Linked DNA regions of Mytilus edulis. The protein of the gene in region 2 purifies or fractionates together with the protein of the main gene of each other region. This does not show direct contact. Links are inferred from orthologs where the notes say so. Each region holds a gene or a part of one and is shown on either strand. Other genes may lie near its edges. The genes, in order: intraflagellar transport protein 22 homolog, intraflagellar transport protein 25 homolog and intraflagellar transport protein 88 homolog.

Region 1 (6,942 bases), on a different chromosome or scaffold from region 2:
TTCATTTACCTTCCAACATATCTAGTTGATGCAAATGAATCTAAAGGAAGGGCCATATAATAAAGTTCAATATAACAAGATTATAAATGTTTTTTAAAGGTGGTGTCTTTCGCCATCTTGGATTGTAAAAAACAGAGAACCTAAGGTCCATATTTTCTATCAAATCAGCAAAATTTGATGCAGGAATGCAGATATTTAATGTGAATTATCATTTAAAAGAACCAATTTATGAGAATATAACTTATAAATATTAATATTTTTACAAGTGTAGATTATTTCTGGTTGTTTTGAAATGTTTTTTAAATTGGCATTTTAAGTGGAGGTAACTCTAGAACTGCATTTTCTGAAGGAATCTACATGGAATTTTCCTATTTTGTTACGTATTTTAGCCGGAAAAAACATACGGTGACCCAATCCTTTCTTTTGATATTCTCAAAGCATTTATTTTACAATTCTATCATTTTGTTTGGTTTCTAATCACAAAATGGTGTTTTTTCCTGTATAATCCATACAAAATGTGTCATTTTGTTACAACCTGTAATTTGAGAAAATGCACGGTGACCTATCATTTTTATTATATTTTTGAACATATATCAATAGATACTACGTTTTGGCAAAATATGAACAAATTCTATTATTTTTATTTTAGACTCCCATACCACCTTAAGTTGACTAAAAGACATGTGACAAAGTTACATAGAACTATTTTTACCATAGTTTTATTTTGAAGCGTTGATTTTTACATCCCAGTTAGGTCAAAATAAGAGATTTTGGCGAAATTTGACAAAATCGGTAAAATTTCAGCCAAATCTAAGATCAGGAAACATAAAGCGCAGCCATTGACAACCTTGATATTCAAGCTAAAATGTCATTACAAACATCATTGTCAAAGATCTTTTTTGTCGATGTATGCACTGTATGTTTCCTGTCCAAATAATCAATAGAAATTTACCCATTTTCATTGTTTTAGCGTGGAAAATCAATATGAGTACTATTTGTGACATCATGTTAAAATGCAAAACATAAATTTACAACAAAAAGACTTAAGTCCTATCTAATCACTGTATTAGCTATGATTCATTTTGATATTGGTCATCAAATCCCAATTTGAAATTTAGGCTAAAAAAGGGGGCCATTTTAGGTCCTTATCGAACCTACTCCTTTATTACTAACAATACTTAAGATTAATAATGTTTCAGAAAATGAAAAAGTCAATGTCATTTAATGTCTGGTGGAGAGTTGTCTCATTGGTACATGTGATACCTTATTGTATCTGAGAATCAGAGATGAAATTTTACATTCTATTTACACCTTTTTTTAAAAGTTCTTATGCTCTCAAATGGTTAATAACTTTGGCTTATTGAAAGCTTTGAATGACAATAATACACCTAGATTGTACCTGCATCCCTGTGTTGGATGGTATTCACCACTAGAAGTATCTGTTGCATCTGCTAAGAAGTTCGCTAACACAGTTTTACCACTCTGTAAAATAAAATAAAAATTATCAAGATCTTCTTTAACAAAGTTAATATACACATAAATGATAAATTGTGTGACTTCATAAATCAATAGAATCTGAAATGGAATTGAGTCTCTGTGTGCTGTACTGCATGTCTGTAAAATATGTATACACTATATTGCAAAGTGGATACCTCTGGTATGCAGGGTCATTACAATTTACACATGAAGTGTTGTTACAAGACTTAATTTCTACATGTTAAATTTCAAGATTGTTATAATTTAATCAAAAAAGCTTGATAGATAATAACAGATATATTTCTTTTTTATTATTCAGTGTTGTTTTGTGCACATTTTAGATGTTTATATATATAACTAATTTATTGTCTACATGTATTGTTACTTGTAACAATCCAGCACCCTTGCATGAAAGTTTGTTCACTAATATTCAGACGTTTTATATATTTATATACATTTTGTAATTCGTCTAAACAACAGCCCAACAATGTTAGAATTTTTATTCTTCCCTGGCTGGAATTGGAACTCACCAAAACGCCTTGCACTAATCCCAGCACACTAGAACCCTTGTTATATTTATCTTTTTAATACTGGTTAATGATATTATTACAAAATGTACTGGCTGGTCATTATTGCGTATGAAACAATTTTGACCAGCCTACATGTACATAGATAATAAATATTCATGACTTTATAGATACGATCAGCATGTGCAGCCATAAAGTGATAAACTGAGAGTTGGATAATTGTACATATGTAGTTTTGAGAATAAAACATAGTTACAAAGATATAGTTATTGATTATTATAATTCGAGCAGGTAAAACACAGATCAATCACCCTGCAAAAAAGCAGCAAATAGACGTATTTACACTTGTATGCAAATTTGTCCGCCATTACGTAAAATCACACAGGTTCCTGTAAACTTTGACATCATAATCTAAAATATTTGACGTCACAATTTAAAAGTGATTGTTGCCTCACGTCAAAAGGTGATTTGGAGTAGATCTAAGGTCATTCGGAGACAATTTCCAAGATTCAGCTTAATACCAAAAGTGTTAATACGTTTATATCAATTTCAAAGTCTTAGGTTCAAATGAGGTTTACCTCAGCAAGGGTTGGAACCCACAACCTCCAATACTTAACACATAACTTGAGACAAGCATGCTAGCACAGGCAGTCCACAAAATATGAAATATTGGAGTCGGTGGTAAAGTCTGACAAGTTACGTTACAAGGATCTGCACATGCATTTCAATTCCCACTTCTGAAATTATACAGATGGGTATGTCACATATTCCTTTCGACTTTTGTGTGGACAATTTTTACAAAAACTTTCATTGGATCATTTGGCAGTCTGGTATTAGTAGCACCTGTAAAAAATATTCACTCTTGAAGTCTCTTCAGTTTCAGTTTTAAAACACACTTGAAAACCTTATCTTGAAAATAAATATATTTCGAAAACTTAAGTTAAAGCTGAATTGTTGTGAAACTTGCCTCACAAGGTCCAACTACAAGAATTTTTACTTTAAACATCATTTTACACCAACTGACTTATTTCTTATTCACAGATTGAAGGAATGTGTACATCTCGCTAAGGAAGTGGAATTAAAGCGACACCTGGTGATCATTGGAAATATTTGATAATATTCTAAATCTTGAGAGAGTAAGGAAGGTTCTTGATAAATCATCACAACGATTATCATTTACTTTCGCTCGTACAATCATAAGATTTGGAAATAAGGCATATATAAAAAGTAATATATTTTACGACACACACCTTTTACGGTTTGTTTGATCACGTGATCTTAAATTTTCAGATTGAAAGCCGCAAAAGTTATATCATGCTGAGTCTTGTAGAAAGTTTGATTTCTCAAATATTTCATTGATTGCCACATATGTTACAAGGTACCATATATGTTATGGAATAATTTTTGTACATGTATATGTTGCTGCTAAATGTATTGTAGAGGATTTTTTTTAATTGAAAAATTCTTGTACATTCAAAATTTTTATTTACAATTTTTAATTTCTATTAACAAAAATAGGGTTCATGGTGTCAATATAAATATGAAGCATTGATTACCTTGGGAGAGGACCGAGTTAATGATACTGATCTGTAATCAAGCTAGACCAGTTTCAGCAGCCCTGTTTCTTGTTAATATGTAATGTGAGTTAACCCTCTTAGTGCGTAGCTAAATTTCAAAACATTGTCCAGAAACGGGTCAATTTCAGTAAAAAAATACCAAAAACAGTAAATTGTTATTTAGTCTTGTATAACAGCATGTTAACTCAAATAATTGAAGAATTACCAAACATAAAGTATAGATGTTTATTTTTTTCTTCAAAAAATAACGTTATTTATATGACATGACATGACGTGAATCCGGGTCTGTTCGCGCCCAATCACGTTCGCACCCTTCCACATTCGCCCCCATTCACTTTCGCACCCCACATGTTCGCACCCAAATTTTGCAAAGTTCGTTCGCACCCCACACGTTCGCACCCAATTTTACCGATTTTTTTTAGGTGTATTGGTATAAATATATATGCCATTGTTTCTAAATAATTCGAGATACTGACAAGTTTTTTTGTGTCATGACAAGTTTATAAAAAAAAAGGTCTTTGTTTTTAAGTCGGATTATGTTATTCTGGCAACAACTATTTCATTTGTGTGTTGAATAATTCTTAATCGTGTTTTGGTTAGTGTATTGAAATAATTTGTTTTTCACTGTTTCTAGTCAATTTTAGTGCGTATCTGGTCCAACATGTTGAACAACTGGTATGCATGGTAAGTGTATTGCTATATATTTATTTTATTAGTATTTACATCAAAGCAATTTAAAACAACAATCATGATTTATAAACAACAGTAAACAATAACACCAAATTGTCATAAATACCAATTAGCAATAATCATACATAATCAACATTTAATAATTAATCATCAGATTGATAAAAGAAAAAATCTATTCAATAAATTCTCAAATTTTATTCAAATAGAATACAATTATTCATATGAATAATTTCTAACAATTTAACTTAAATTTTATTAAAAATTGGGCGCGAACATGTAGGGTGCGAACGGACGTGGGGGGCGAAAATGTGAGGTGCGAACGTGTAGGGTGCGAAACTATATTGGGCGCGAACGGACCTGATACCACATGACGTAACGTCATAATGATAATCACGTCACGTCCTAAGGAAGCTTCGCGCTATTCAATTAGTCAAGCACTTTGCAGTGTTTTGAAGAAAACGTTCAGTTTTTGCAAAACGGCACTATACTTTACAAAATTTCAAGTCAGATTTACAGCTGTACTTATTTTCGGTTGGTCATCTTAGATCAAATAAAATATTTCATTGGATAAAAAGCACCTATATATAAAAAAAGATGGCATTGCGTATTCCAAGTGTACTTCAACAAACATGACATATATACAACATGACAAATAATGTAAATAAAACATAATGCAAAATAAGAGAAAATTCATTATATGCTGTATCTACAACTACAAGTCTATTTTTTGTATAGTTCTTCCATTATTTATGGTAGACTTACTGACACTAAGCATTGTTTTGAACTTTAAATTGTGGTTTTCTCATTGTTAATGACCGTACGGTTGCCTGTAATTACAATGTACTTACATCCACTTCATTTGAACTTTGGTGGATAGTTGTCTTATTGCCAATCATACCACATCTGACATCTCCTTTTTTTTATATTCAAATGCTTATCTCATATATTTACAAATTTGGTTGGCATCAGCAATTTTATTTTGATTAATTAAATATGATACTGATTTGATAACATTAACTTTAACTTTAACCAATTTTTGAAAACTTAAACGTAAATTCCCCCGAAGGTTTTTATATTGGGGACATTATAAAAGGAAATGCGTACAATATTCTATGTTATCTCCGCAAAATTTACAGAAACTTTCAGTTGCTAGTGCTTTATGTAAACTGTGTATCACCCCGTTTTAATAGCAAGTGATTGTGCACTTATTTTTGATTCGTAAGAAGTAAGCTCTCATACTTTGGTATAACAAAGCATAGGTAAGCTTTTTAAAGTCAAACGATTAGCAAGTTATACAAAAACAATCTGAGTTAAATAGTGATGTGTTATTATGTTAACTATGCTCAAGTTGATATAATGTTATAAAGGATGTATGTGCCCCAACATAAATATCGCCACACCTAAAAACAAAACCATTTTATTGGCTTAATATTTTGATATGAGCGTCACTGATGAGTCTTATGTAGACAAAACGCGCGTCTGGCGTACTAGCTAAATTATAATCCTGGTACCTTTGATAACTATACTATGACGCAATTAATTTTCAGCCTTAATTTTTGTCGAGCCTGCAACTTTTGTTGCAGAAAGCTCGACATAGGTATAGTGATCCGGCGGCGGCTACGGCGGCGGCGGCGTTAGCTAACTTCTTAAAAGCTTTATATTTTAGAAGGTGGAAGACCTGGATGCTTCATACTTTGTATATAGATGCCTCATGTTACGAAGTTTCCGTCAGTCACATGTCCAATGTCCTTGACCTCATTTTCATGGTTCAGTGACCACTTGAAAAAAAAGTTCAAATTTTTTGTAATGTTGAATTCTCTCTTATTATAAGTAATAGGATAACTATATTTGATATGTGCATACCTTGCAAGGTTCTCATGTCTGTCAGACAGTTTTCACTTGACCTCGACCTCATTTCATGGATCAGTGAACAAGGTTAAGTTTTGGTGGTCAAGTCCATATCTCAGATACTATAAGCAATAGGGCTAATATATTTGGTGTATGGAAGGACTGTAAGGTGTACATGTCCAACTGGCAGGTGTCATCTGACCTTGACCTCATTTTCATGGTTCAGTGGTTATAGTTAAATTTTTGTGTTTTGGTCTGTTTTTCTCATACTATATGCAATAGGTCTACTATATTTGTTGTATGGAACGATTGTAAGGTGTACATGTCTAGCGGGCAGATGTCATGTGACCTTGACCTCATTTTCATGGTTCAGTGGTCAAAGTTAAATTTTTGTGTTTTGGTCTGTTTTTCTCATACTATATGCAATAGGTCTACTATATTTGTTGTATGGAACGATTGTAAGGTGTACATGTCTAGCGGGCAGATGTCATGTGACCTTGACCTCATTTTCATGGTTCAGTGGTCAAAGTTTTTATCTAATACTATATGCCATAGGTCAACTATATTTGGTGTATGGAAATATTTTATGATCTTTATGTCAGTCGCACAGGTTTTATTTGATCGTGACCTCATTTTCACGGTTCATTGCACAGTGTTAAGTTTTTGTGTTTTGGTCTATTTTTCTTAAACTATATAAGTAATAAGTCAACTATATATGTTGTATAGAAGCATTGTTAGCTGTACATGTCTGCCTGGCATGGTTCATCTGACCTTGACCTCATTTTCAAGGTTCATTGGTCTATGTTTAGTTATCTTGGTTAATG
Region 2 (7,299 bases):
ACAAAATATTATTAATCTATCACAAATGGTCCTATCAAACTAACTTTAGCAAAATTAATCTAAATTCACTGGACCATGAACTAGGGGGCAGAGCCTCAAAATAGTCATACTCTGATATGTACTGATAGTAATGCTACTTTATATTAAATATCAATGATCCATCACAAGTAGTTCCTATGAAACTAACTAACGCCATCATCCTCATTTGAAAGCAATCCCTTTTCTCTCACTTTACACAACTTTTGTCCCAAGCTAGACAAAAACGTATGTGTTTCCTATTTTTAAGCAACTGTCTACAGATTATTTATCATATCTTTTTGAATCTTACTATTAAATCAAAAATGTGAATTTTCTATTTCCTTATTGAAACATTTCCAATGAAACCAGAACAACAATAAAATTTATAACAATTTTGTTTATACGCATAAATATTACACCATGGACGGAATGTTAATAGTTCAAATGACGGATTTATATTAATGTGCTGCTGTTCCGTCTACATGTAGTCTATAAACAGCTGCAAAATGGTCATATGCTGAATCGATTACAACACGTAAATGTTGTGCCTGTACATTGCCTAGATTTATTTCTTCTGACTGTAGTTGACCATCGTGAGAATTCATCTCTGAAAAGGAGAGAAAAATAATTTTGTATAATGATCATGAGAATTCATCTCTGAAAAGGAGAGAAAAATAATTTTGTATCATGATCGTGAGAATTCATCTCTGAAAAGGAGAGAAAAATAATTTTGTATCATGATCGTGAGAATTCATCTCTGAAAAGAAGAGAAAAATAATTTTGTATCATGATAATGTGAAAATATACCCAAGTTTGAAAGGATGGATATGTATTTGCCTGAAAACTGCATTAATTATTTGTATATAATAAATATATTTTCACCCCAAAAACAACTTCATTACCACTGAATTGTCAAGACTATAATAAATTATTTGAAGGTACAATCAGAAATGCATGCAAAATTGCTTCCATTTTAAAAAGTCATTTTATTTGTCTGAATTTATGTAAACATAAAACAAACAAAGATCAGTCAGTTTCAATATATGTGTTTAGAGTCTGAGAATTACTATTATTAGGAAAAATCTTTAAATATCCCAGAGAGTAACTGTTTAGATTTATCTGTTCATTGTTCAATGTTAACAGACAGTCTTGTAAAATTGCTATTTGGCCTGTCAATTTTCTATTTATATGAAGCCCCAGTCCCACTACACCACGATCGCACCATGCTCACTGTGTTCTTAAATTTATTCAGATCATGGTGAGGTCGCGGTATGAGCGGCATGAATACATATATATCTACACGATCCCACTACGATAATCAAAATTTTCATTTTTTTCACAGATCGTAGTGCGATCGTGGCCTAGCGGGACTGCGATATTACAGTACTAAAAAAATCTTAAATTTCATTGATGGAAAATTTAAACGAATAGTGTATTTTTAACTCTTGATGTTTAAAACATAATCATGGGTTTGTTATGAATGACTATTTTGCTGGCCTTTTGTTCTTTTATGGATGTGTATCTTTGAGTTTGAATTACCCTCTGATTTTTTTTTATATTTGAAATGTTTGCTCTTACAGTCTTTTACCACTAGGATTATGTCAAAATCTGCATACAACAACAAACATTCTGAGAGTACTGCATGGCAATACATAGTCCCCTAACAGTAAAAAGTTCTTTGTGCTGAACAAAATGCCAACTTGATCTATAACTTGTCATGGTGTAAACTATATATAACAAATATCTGGTCAATATGTTCAAGCTGAAGCATGACAAAAAAAAGTGTGTAAAACTAATTATTTGAGTGAACAAATTGGAACCTGATCTGTAACTCGTCTCGATAAAAGAATACACCAAATATCTTATCCATATCTTCATGCATGAAGAAAAAAGTGTGGAAAACTGATTTGCCGATTGACAGACAGAGTGCAAACCTAAATTCCCCTTCGACTTAGTTTGTAAGGGACTAAGAAATGAAACATACCTATTTCTTTTATTGGTTCAAAATTTAAAGGTTCACTGTCTGTACTTTTCTCTAAGATCAATCTTCTAACTAAAATAGAAATAACATTTCTTGTATTAAAATACCTTTGTAGAATGAAAAAGTATTTCATTTTATCTTCAAAGAATTTCTAATTCAATAATATTAACTGTTGGAATGAGACACAAATTGAGTACTTTTTTTTTTCTAGTTGCTGTAAACATGGTAAATATCTAAAAAGATATTATCACGCTTTTGACTACATATCAGTTGTTCTTTCAGTTCATTTTTCTAGTTATTGTAAACATGGTATATTTTTAAGTATACATTATCAAGTCTTTAACTTTATCAGTGGTTCTTTTGGTATAAGATAAAACTATCAATATTTTTTTCAATATTTATATAAACTTACCATTACATGAAGCTAATTCTACTTTCGACATGTTCATCATTGATGTGAATTTTATGACAAATTCCTGTGGAAATAAACCTGTTGTTGTCCAGAAAGTTTCTGAATCCCTGAAATAAACAATGTTTTAAAGACTCAAATGACTGGATTGGACACAATAAAGGATAATCAATAATGTAGGTTTATTTTTGTGTATGGAATTGTAGAATGCATGCTAGGATAATAGTGTATTTATTAAACTTTGTAACATACATGTACACGTAAGGCATTAGTATATGTAAATGTTTTCCACACAGGATCACACAAAGAAAAAAGGTACATTGTTTTACAAGGCAAAAAGTATTTTTCTATTTTTGGTATAAATTGAGCAAGAAACAATTATTTATGCAAGTGTCGGTGGGTGAGAACAGTTTTCTTTTATAATGCAGTGTACTCAGTGGTTTAAAATTGAGATTACCCGTCTATAATATTTTCAGGAGGATATTTATCATCACTTGAAGTTGCTAACACAACCTGGGCACCAGCAGATTTTAAGGCAACATCAAACATTTTTAACTTCGTTAGGAATGTTAGGGCTGTTCGGAATATTTATTGTTGTCACCGCAAACAAGTCTTTTCATCCCGACCCGACATCCTGAGAGAGATGATATTGAAAATAAAATATACGTATCAAAAATTAAAAAATAAGTCGGAAATAATTAAGATATAATTAAGATATAATAAAGTTTATCATCAAATGCAGACAAATTCGGTCAACAATAAAAGTAATTGACTGTGGTTAAATTTTTTGACCGGAAATGATAGCCGCCTTTTAAAAATCCGTTCGGAAACTTTCCCCGCCAAATTCCAAATCACTTCATACAATATTTAACAAATAACATGTAAGTAACCATAGGCAAGGACGTATAACTAACACTGTAATATACGTCCTTGCCATAGGTATTAAAAAACTTGTGTTGAATTTTTGAAAGGGTGACACAAAATCATAAAATATACAAGTTGTCTTTTCAGAGGCCTTGAGGCTTTAACAATTTAAAAAACAAAACAAAATTTGAATGAAATAAAAAACACAAGATAAAAATATTTAATGAATGGCTATTTTTTATGGGTCAATAAATTCAAAATAAATTATTGCCATTCATTATAAATAAATTTCTATCAAAAATAAGGCTCAAAGAACTTTTTATATTTTTTATATTAACAATTACAACGTACACACATGTTGGCGTATGAATACACAACGTCAGAGTGGGTGCATCACCATAAAATTGACAACATTGAAAATAAAACTAATACTTTTAACCAATCAGAAAACAGTAGATACACCAAATTTATTTATTTTTAATTACAATTATTCAATTAGTTACTAGCAAATGTTCTCTGTTTTAGCGCTGCCAAGAGAGGCTGGCACATGAGCTGCTGAGGAATCCATGTCTGTTTGCTTAAAATCATGTTCGCTCTCATTACTGAGGGTATTAGATACAAAATGGTTAAATTTTACTGTGATTTGTCAAAATATCCTTATCTTGATTCGGCAGAGGTCTCAAATAATTATTGTTACTGTTATTGTTAATTTTTGAAAAAAATTAACTTAAAAAAATAACATGATTTGTCAATAACACCTGATTTTTTTATCATTTAAAAACAAGTGTACATTTTATCGTCATGCACTAAAAATTACTGTTAACATCAATTGTCAATTATTTATTTGTGATGAAGGTACCCCCATTACCACCCTCATACACATTCACCCAAAGTCAGGTTCACTCCCATACATGTTCCACCTTTCACGCTGGCACCCTACATGTTTAAACGCTGGTTCAGTTCACACACTACACGGTCACAACCTTTTAAAGTGTAGTTCATACAGTGATAGTACTATATATTTATTGTGCACAGAACACTATATGGTTGATAACAAAAGTTCTTGAAAACTTGATTAAATCATATAATAATTATTCCTTCTTTATGAAATAATTTCCTGGAGTATATATTATCCTCTTATAACATGTATAAGATCCAACTGAGTTACTCAGAATAATTCTATACAATGGCATTCTTTACAAAATAATTATTATGCCCAACATTGAACATGTTGAACTAGCAGCTTACATGTATTTTGATTATCACTTATATGAAATTTCTGTTTGTTCACATGATTAACATAATTTTATTATGTAACACAAGTTCTAATACTTTCATTTTATTGGTAATCCGTATATTTTCCCTTTGATTTTACTGCCTAATATTTTCGAGTACCAACGTACTGGCTGTATGGCAATGGATAAAATATTATCTGGTGAAAGTTCCCAATAGAGCTTTTGTTATGTAACAAAAATTCTAACAGATAAAAGGTGGAGCCTTTGTTCTGTCATGTAAGGCATTCTGAACAAATAGATTAGCAATGTATCTATTTTCTCTTTTTAGGTACAGTATAACTTGAATAATAAATAATTATTTTGAAATGATATGAATGGGAAGAGACTTAAGACACATGATATATCTGAAGAAAGACAAAAAACACCAAAACGTTTGTTGTCACAGTGCATACACTATGTAGCAGACAATCTGTGTTATGTTGACTCTTTTTATGGATTGCCAGATTTGATAGCAGAACAGATATTCAGAAAAGCAGAATCCTTAGACAAGTTTGATTTAGATGACAAAAACAGCTTTCATGCACTTTCAATATTTACTACTGTATATGAGGACCTTATCATTTCAAGTTTAAACCTCTGTAACCAATACCTTGGAGTTAATTTCTGTCAGGATCGTTTAAATTTGTTGACATCCCTTAGAGAAATAGATTTGACTGGTTGTAGACTAGGAGATGAACATGATTTCTTGAATGATTTGGGACAACTTCAGAGGTAAGATTCTCCACATAAAACTGCAGTTTGACAGAAAATGTACATGTATGAGGGGCTTGATGGGTTATTTTCGTTTTTCGTGATCAGCGCATTTTCGCTATCGTGATTCGTTTTTCTACAGATTTTTTTTCTCTGAAAAAATCAACTTGTGAATCGTGATGCGACCCCCCCCCCCCCCCACCACCAATCAGGCCCCTCATGTATGGAGTTCATAGGCTTATGAGTAAACACTTGTAACTGCGCTTATCCATTTGGTCAGTTCTAATTGATAGTGCAATAAAATATCTGTTTACAATCTGTGGTATACTTTATCCCCATATATGTCACTATAGTTTCTATTTACTTATTGAAATTTGGAAGTTGAGGTACATAAAGATTGAAAACACCATTTAAAAAAAAAAACTTAACCAGATGCTCTGCAGGGCGCAGCTTTAAACAACCGCAGAGGTCGAACTCTGAACGGTTGGGGCTAGTATGGACACAACATTCAAGCTGGATACAGCTCTGAATTTTGATTGTGATTAAATAGTTGACACAGCATAGGTTTCTGACACAGAATGAATGTGGTCTAATAAACTTAAAATATTTTTTTTTGCTTTTGAACAATTCACTATGCTGTTGAATATTAATTCTCTCAAAAAAAAAATATTTGAAGAAATTTTCTTTTTAATTGAGTTGAGACAAACTTAAGTTAAGAGAACAGAAACTAAAAGTTCTTCAATTTTTCCATTTGTAAATGGGCATAACCCTAGAATGGTAATCAAAGTGCTTGTCATCACTGAATGGTAAAGACTGCTTTAATTTATCAGTTTGTAGTAAAGTGAATATTGCATTGTATATTGTATATAGCATTGATTTAAGTTGATTCAACTACTATTCTGGACAAAGAAAGATAACTTCAATTTTCAAAGAAGATTTCATAAAGCATTAGTTTTAGGTGATTCAACAACCATTCGGGACAAAGAAAGATAACTCCAATTTATTGTCTTGAAACTACAAAAATGCTTGTTTTGGCCCCTTTATTCCTAGACTGTTGCCCCATAACCCACAAAATATATCCCAACCTTCTACTTATGGTATTAAACATTGTGGTACAATTTCAGAACAATTGAAATACTTATACACAACTTTTTGTACTGACACTAGACAAATGCTTGTTTTGGGCCCCTTTAGGCCCCTAATTCATAAACCTAAGGGACCATAACCCCCAAAATCAATCCCAAGCTTCCTTTTGTGGTTATTAATATTATGTTAAAATTTTATTGATTTCTATTTACTTATACTAAAGTTATTATCTGGAAACCATCCGTCTTCGGACGACGCAGACGACGACTTGATACCAATATACGACCGCAAAAATGTTTGCGGTCGTATAAAAAGCAATATGTTATGTTGAAGATAATTTGTATGAAAGTTCTCTGAATTTCATATTAGCCTTGCTGTATTTTAACTCATTCGACAACTTATTACACTTATTATGATATGTACTTGCACTTAATTTGAAGGTTGGAGATATTGTGTCTGAGTGACAACAGTTTATCTGATAAAGGGATCCAGAGATTGACTTGTCCTTACAGAGTGTGTGGTCAGGGACCAGCAGGATTGACTAAGCTGGATGTATCTGGTAAATAGAGTAAAAATATACAATATTGGATTAGAAAAATAAAAATAAAATGATCTGTGAAACATTTAAGTTACCGTATTGAAACTAAAGAAAAATAGAAATACACTCATTCATAAAATAGAGAATGGAAATGGACAATACCCGACCAGGACAAAAAGACAACCAAAGTCCACCACAGCAAGAAAATCCTGCACCGTGAGGTAGACTTCAGCTGGCCTCTAAATAAAATGTGTACTAGTTCAGTGAAAGTGGACTTCACACTTAACTCCTGAACATAATTGAACTAAAATTTTAAAAAAATTCAAGACTAACCAAGTCCAGAAACTTCTGACTTGGGACAGGCGTAAAAATGACAAGGTTTAAATATGTTTAGTGAAATTTCCACCCTCCCCTATAC
Region 3 (7,574 bases), on a different chromosome or scaffold from region 2:
TTTTAATTGTGGCCTAGGTTAAATTTTTGTGGGTTTTTTAATTTTGTGGATATATTCTTTCCACGAAAATTTCTGCTTTTACAGTATAACATATTTAAAATGTTTGCAAGGTTAGTGGCTGGTTCATTAATCGTTATTCCATATTCTATATCTAACCGCCTGCAATATAGACTTTTGCAATTTATATTTTAAGTACAGATATCAAATTGGCACTTTGCGTCCTCCGTACATATTAAAGTGACAAAGACAAAAATTAACTGGAACACATGTTTTGAATTTCTGCAAAAAAAAAATATACCTTGCATCAACCTCTGTTGAAACTCTGCCGGGTACAATTTTCAGGATCTCTAAACCAAACAATACATATACCTTATCCATAGCAGCTTCTATTTGTTGTTCCATTGTCCTATTGAAATAAAATTTAAAAAGATATTTTATGTTTGTTAAAAGAGAAAAACATACCTTGTCTTCTTTCTGTTTTTACTCTTATAATAAAGACATGTTTAAAGTACAGTTACACAGCATGATGATTTTTTTTTTATATTTCTTTTTCAGTTTATTTTCTTTTTTGTCATGATTTCAAAATTCACTATTCATACTATTCATAAGGACTTTTATATGACTGTCATAAAGTGAGAGGTTAGGCTATAAATGTAGCTATAAACCTGGTTCAATCCACTATTTTCTACATAAAAAAAGTGCCTGTACCAAGTCAGAAATATGACAGTTGTTATCCATTCGTGTGATGTGTTTGAGCTTTTGTCTTTGACATTTGATTAGGGGCTTTGTTTTGAATTTTCCTCAGAATTCAGTATTTTTGTGATATTACTTTTTATAATTTAATGTAATGTAAAAAAAGAACAATAATCGATAATTGGATACACCAAATTGTGCATTTCATCAACATATAAATATATAAGACATTTATTATTGTACATATTTTTTCTTTTGAAATGAGTCTTCATCACATATTCATCAATTACATTCTAGCTTTACATTGATTAAAAGACTCACTTTACATTGCTGTATTTTAACAAAGTATTAATTTTAATTTTACCCTCCACTTTTTTTTGCAAAAGTAACAGCCTCTTCAATAAGATGTTGGTATGCTGGCATATTTGCTGCTGCTGATATCAGAGAAGGGTTGGTTGTAGCATCAGTAGGCTTATACTCCTTCATAGCTATGAAAGTAATTAAATAACTTCTGATAAATAATTAAAACATGACATATAACTTCTGTCTCTGTATACATTTTTAAACATGAACTTTGAAGTGTTTTCAGATACACAATTTCACAAAGCTTTTTAAAGTACATGTAATACATAACAGCAGTTTGCCAAAGGTAAACATTGTTGATTAGCGGTTTGTTTGACACTCAAGTGAAGCCATATAAAATTGATATAATTATAGAAGTTCTTTACCTTTACCTTCATCAGCATGATCAGTGACAAAAAAAACGCTATTAATGTTGACATTGCTGATATTAAATAAATAAACAGCTGTGCCATGAGCTCATGATGCGGCCATAGCTTTTTCAAAGAATAAAGTACAAAAAATTATCACTGTCATACAGTGTATCAGATATTCAGGAAAACTAAAGGAATGCTATCTAAATAGATATAAACCAGTAACCAAAGTTTCATGATAACTGCTCAACACATTGTATGAACACTCCCCCCCCCCTTTTTTATGAATAAAATCGCTGAAACGTAAATAATAAAATTGATAAAAAAATTGAAAGGGAGCTTATGTCAATAGATATAAACAATACACCAAAGTTTCCTGCATATTGCTGAACCATTTTGAGTTACATGTCATGTATTGTTCAAAAACTAGAAAATCCTCCTATTCTTAACGAACAAACCCTCCAAAACTTAAAAACTTACAATGTCAAATGTAAAAGTTATGAAAATTAAATGGGATCACACGTTAATAGATATATAATTCACCAAACATGCCAAAGTTTCATGACAATTCGTTAAACCGTTTTTGAGTTATTTTCCGACATGTTGATGCTGGACAGACATACCATAATACGTCCTGTAAACAGACGTATAAAAGAGGGTTGTAATGGGGGTACCTTCATGACGAATAACAGTAAAAATTCCTGCCAAACGACATTAACGGTAATTTTTGGAGCATAACGATAAAATATGCATAAAAAAAGGTGCCTAAAAAAAATCAAATGATTTTGACAAATATGTTAATTTATCACATTAATTTTTTTCCAAAAAAAAACGGTAATGATAATTAGAACTAAGACCTTTGACAAATCATGATAAGGATATTTTGACGAATCACGAAAATTTTTAAATCAATTTGAAAAAAAATTCCAATAGTTGTAAATTACTTAATATTTTACAGAATTTGCTTTTTTTCCATATGTAACTGGGACACCTGTGTCATATTAACTTGATCATATTGTGTATACTGTACATGTTTATAAATGACATGCGACAACAACATGGACAAGATCTCATAATTTTTGTCATGTAAAAAAAATATTTACCTTCAAAATCACCAGTGTCTGCAACTATGACAGTTAATTCCTTTAGCTGGTCCAGTGTTGTCATGGCGGATTTTTTAGTTTGTGGCTCAGACATCTCAGGATATTACTGTGAATAATATTTCCGCTAAATCAGGATGCAAAATTTGGGACAAACGTTTACCTGTTAGGCTATTGATGTTGGATGAGCTAGGCATGCAACACTGACAAGGAACCAGACATAATGACGGAAGCGCTTTCCTGAATATAAATACTAGGACAAACTCGGAGACGACATGTTTAACAGCGTCGAGTGTTAGCTTTCTAAAAAGCTTCTCCAACTTCAGCAATATGACGGAGGAAAATAAGATATTTAAACAAAAGCGTTGCTCTTTAAGTAGCATGTCAGCTGCAGAATACAATATTTTAAAAATCACTAAATAAAACTCATCATAGATACCAGGATTAGATTTTGTATTTACGCCAGACTCGTTACCCTAGCTTGTGACGACGTATGCACATTTTATAAAAAAAAAAAAATATACCTGCAGCCTTTCTCCGTGTACTCCTATAGTTAGAGTGACATATTTTGTGCTTAATAGATAAACGAAAGATTTTTTTTTTTTTTTTTTTTATATATATATATATATAGATAATGATTAGACCGTTGGTTTTCCCGTTTGAATGGTTTTACACTAGTAATTTTGGAGCCCTTCATAGCTTGTTGTTCGGTGTGAGCCAAGGCTCCGTGTTGGGGGCCGTACAATCGCCTATAATGGTTTACTATTATAAATTGTTATTTGGATGGAGAGTTGTCTCATTGGCACTCACACCACTGCTATATCTATAAAGCTAGTAAAAAGAATGGACTTATTCAAGTACACCTTCTAGATTAGTGATTTAAGCACGAGTTTTTTTTTTTTATTGTTTTAGGTTGTTTATGAATTTTGTAGACAATAAACCATAGCACCTCATGGTCAAATAGATGAATAGTAATGAAGTTCGTGTTTTGTTCGCAGATATATAAAAAAAATGTCTTTATTTGCCACAAAACTCCCATTTTCTATAACATGCAATGTACACAGCTACTTTTGCATAGGTACTATTTCTGTACTTAAAAATGCAGTACTGGAAATTTACTTTTAATATCTAGTACTATTTCTTTACTTTAAAACTGTTGTAATATTTAGGTACTTGTATTTTACAGTACTTGATTTGTACCAAATATTTTGGTACAGAAATAACACAATATTTCATGTTTGAAAATCATAACTTTAAGAGATTTGAAATAGAAAAACTTTCAAAATGCTGAAAATGTAACGGTAGTAACCAAAAATCTGTAGTACCTTAATTTCAAGTACAAATAAAGTACTGTAAAATACATGTACCTAAATATTACAATAATTTTAGAGTAACAAAATAGTACTGAATATTAAAAGTAGATTTCCAGTACTACATATTTTTAGTACAGAAATAGTCTATGCAAAAGTAGCGGAGTGTGTAATATTTAACCGTAGTGCTCTGAACAAAGTTTACACAGGGTTGCATGCCTTTTTAGCAATTATTATTTGGTCGGTCTTCTAAATTTGAAAACAATCACTGAAGCCTACCGGTATATTATAAATTATAAAGCTTTTCACATGTACATATGTTATACCTTTAACATGTTTAATAACATACTAGATTTTGCAAAAATACTATTTTTTTAACATCCATGTACTTCAACGTTTTAATCCTTCGAACCTTCCCCAATTGATTCGTTGCACTTTATCGTTATATAACATCGTACTTTAGCATGAACACACGTACTTTAGCAACAAACAACTATTGCACTTTAGCATGAGACACCATCGCACTTTAGCGTAGACCATCGCACTTTAGAGTCCTACATATATACAGAATGAAGTCCTCAAATGCTCATTATTAAGACTTATTACGAATCTATAACGTATTTTAGACACCCATATTATATTCAGTGATTGAATTTGTTGACGGTAAACTGATTATAACTTTCGAGTTTGCATCCCATTTGTTAATTATATACACCTTTTCATCACAGTTGTTAAATGATTTGGAGTATTTAATTTTTTTATTTAAGAATCATTTACTATTAACCTCCCTATTGCACCATGTGCACGTTTGTTTACTTTCTTTCCCACTCATATGTACACTTGCGCTTTGCAAATGGCGAGCTTTTAACGAGAGATATTGTTGTTAGGGTCACTGCATACGTAAAAAAGATCGGCGGAATTCGAGTACGGAAAGACAATAATTCTATATCAGTACATAATTGAAAATTTTGATTTAAACTAGGATTTTCTTTAAAAGAAGTCCAAGTTCACTTGTTTTATAGTATAAAAACTAAGTTATCAATGTATATAAAACATATTCAACTTTGTTTTAATTCAGTGAAGTATCATGTGACTTTAAACATTTTTCCGGCACACACAGTTTTTGATACGTCAGTAGGAAGTGAATCATCATGACTTGCACTTGTGTGATTTTCAGCTTATTAATTGTGTATTACTAATTGATATACGATATTTGAACATTGATAAATTACTGTCGCCTTTATAACTACTGTCAAGACACAAGACTAGTATGCTGTTAAAGATAACTTTGCCATTCGTATACAGATGGATCAACTCAGGCAAACATCTTACAACTACATGTATACCAAGAGGAACAACTTTTGTCATGGATCTAATCGTTTTTCTCTTTAAAAGAAAGATAAACTCAGGTTGTCTACATGTTTCATCCGCTTTAAATTGCTATCTCATTTGAACTGAATGCTTCATTATCTCTCACTTGACTGATTTTACAAACAGATTGAAGCGAGCAAATGTCACATTTTCATTTGAATAATATATTGAACACACATTTGACAATAATTATAATCCTGGACTTATACTGATATAGATGTATCAAATTTAAGCATTATGGTAAAAAAAAAGATAAAGAATAACCAAAACCCAAATGGTTCAAGAATAACTATATAATCATTATGGATAATTTTGAATAAAGGCAACAGTAATGGACGACATCAAAAGTTCAATGAAGGATAAAAAACTTAATTCAAATAGTTTTTTTCACTGACCCCCCTACCCCCCTATTGACTTAATTTGGGAAAATTTGATTGACCCATATGGATATATGTAAAAATCAATGTCGGATAACCAAAGCTTGCAGCAGTTCAACCCCCACCCCCAAACTATTTGAATTAAGTTTTTTTTTTTTTTTTTATCTTACATTGATCTTTTGATGTCGTCCCTAATATACCGCTGTTCAAAAGTCATAAATGGATTGAGAGAAAAAAAATCCGGGTTACAAACTAAAACCGAGGGAATCACAGCAACTATAAGAGGATAACATATGAATATAAGATTGAGAAGATGGGTTTTGATTAAAAATTAGATTAAATGACATACTAGAAGTTTAAACAACCCAAGGTCATGGTTTGCTCGAATGTGGTATTGGTAGGCTACTCGCTATTTTTTTAATTTTAAGTGTGATCATTTTATTTAAACTTAATTTTTTTTTGCAACTCAGCTGACATTGATGGCGGCATGTCAGTTAACCAAAAGATTTGTGGTTGCTATATAGTTAAATCATGACTGAATGTACCCAACTTATGACGGTCATTATGTAATATAATTGCGCCTAAGTTAAGACTGATGAAATCTAAGAGGAAACTTTGACCTGTAATTATGTTAGCTTCAAAATTTTCTGTTTCCTTTTTCTGAATCACCAACGTTTCATATTATGGCTTTCAGATCTTTTGGAGTGGAGCGTATCTGTATGTGTTTCTTGTAGACACAATTTATTTTTGTGTGCATGGAGATGTTATCATACGTTTTCGCGCACATTGCCTCGAATCGTGTCTCGTTCCTTTTGGGGGTTCATTCGATTTACCTTGTATTGTATCGTCTTCATAGATAAACGAAATTTAAAAATTTATTGGAAATACACGTCAAAGGCGCTTGGGTATAGAATAGAATAGAATAATTTTATTTACCAATTAGGACCCCAGGAGGGCGTATAGCATACAAACTTATTGGAAATACACCATGTACACGTCAAAGGCGCTTGGGTATAGAATAGAATAGAATAATTTTATTTACCAATTAGGACCCCAGGAGGGCGTATAGAATACAAACATTATTACATGTATTATAAACAATAACATATACAAAAACATCGGTAAACTTCTCCTGCCTTTAAACTAATGCCAGCATCACTAAATTCTATTTTGCGTAAAAATATCATCATAATGATATATACTGCAGTACCTTACTGCAATTGCGCAAAATAAGATATTGTACAGATAGTAATATTTCATAATGTTTGTATTGAGATATATTCAATAAGCGCATCATAGATAATTCATCATGATGCTATTAATTTCGGAAACGATTTTTTTTCTCAACAAAAAAATTTAATTCAAACTTTTCTTGTTCTATGAGAAATTTACAGAAACGGTAAGAATGGATATTTTTTTTTTAATCATGACACAAAATCTCTGATTTTCATAGGTGATATGCATGTTATAAGTTTAAAAACATACATACTTATAAAAAAAAAAGACAATTGAAAGTGGTACACCTAAGTAATACGAGAAATTGTCTAAATGAGTTACGTCATAATTGAAAACCTTTGAGAAATACTATTCAATACACAAGGAACTGTTCACTTATCTCAACACTCTAAGACAAACCACACTACATCAATCCAACGGAAAAGAAGGAACATAGTGCTAAATGAGTCAAGGAGTTTTAACCTTTTTATGATTTAAATATTTATCAATCACAATTTTCATGCCTTTATTAATGCCTTTATGTAAATTAATGTCCTTCGCCCAGTAAACAAAATCATGCAGACTATATTTTGACAGAGATAGAATTTTATTTCGTAACATTCATACAGCTTTCTCTCTCACTTTAATTCTTTTAATGTAAAATAATACCAATTTATAAGAGTATCGAAGTAATTTCGTGCATCATATGCGCATTTAAAAAATAGTTTTGCCATCGGTGCTCGAAATGAAGCTTTATAAGCGTTTGAAAAGTAACAGTTAATTAAATAGTTATCA

The links.
Region 1: the proteins of intraflagellar transport protein 25 homolog (region 2) and intraflagellar transport protein 22 homolog purify together in Homo sapiens (affinity purification with mass spectrometry; 3 studies listed by BioGRID and IntAct, with this or other methods). This does not show direct contact. The link is inferred for Mytilus edulis from reciprocal best matches to the Homo sapiens genes IFT25 and IFT22.
Region 3: the proteins of intraflagellar transport protein 25 homolog (region 2) and intraflagellar transport protein 88 homolog purify together in Homo sapiens (affinity purification with mass spectrometry; 3 studies listed by BioGRID and IntAct, with this or other methods). This does not show direct contact. The link is inferred for Mytilus edulis from reciprocal best matches to the Homo sapiens genes IFT25 and IFT88.

The regions. Positions count from the first base shown.
Region 1 is NC_092349.1:48,722,734-48,729,675, reverse strand, and holds the start of intraflagellar transport protein 22 homolog, read right to left. Parts: upstream 3,111-6,942; 5' UTR 3,013-3,110; coding exon 2,971-3,012; intron 1,483-2,970; coding exon 1,400-1,482; intron 1-1,399. UniProt on the Homo sapiens protein: Small GTPase-like component of the intraflagellar transport (IFT) complex B.
Region 2 is NC_092344.1:108,773,180-108,780,478, reverse strand, and holds intraflagellar transport protein 25 homolog, read right to left. Parts: upstream 3,034-7,299; 5' UTR 2,958-3,033; coding exon 2,866-2,957; intron 2,519-2,865; coding exon 2,412-2,518; intron 2,072-2,411; coding exon 2,003-2,071; intron 626-2,002; coding exon 477-625; 3' UTR 398-476; downstream 1-397. Other genes in the region: leucine-rich repeat-containing protein 42-like, read left to right, coding at 4,878-5,278, 6,784-6,902. UniProt on the Homo sapiens protein: Component of the IFT complex B required for sonic hedgehog/SHH signaling.
Region 3 is NC_092353.1:50,393,793-50,401,366, forward strand, and holds the start of intraflagellar transport protein 88 homolog, read right to left. Parts: upstream 3,041-7,574; 5' UTR 3,006-3,040; intron 2,755-3,005; exon of another isoform or gene 2,604-2,754; coding exon of another isoform or gene 2,510-2,603; intron 1,182-2,509; coding exon of another isoform or gene 1,058-1,181; intron 407-1,057; coding exon of another isoform or gene 299-406; intron 1-298. Other genes in the region: transaldolase-like, read right to left, coding at 299-406, 1,058-1,181, 2,510-2,603. UniProt on the Homo sapiens protein: Positively regulates primary cilium biogenesis. Also involved in autophagy since it is required for trafficking of ATG16L and the expansion of the autophagic compartment.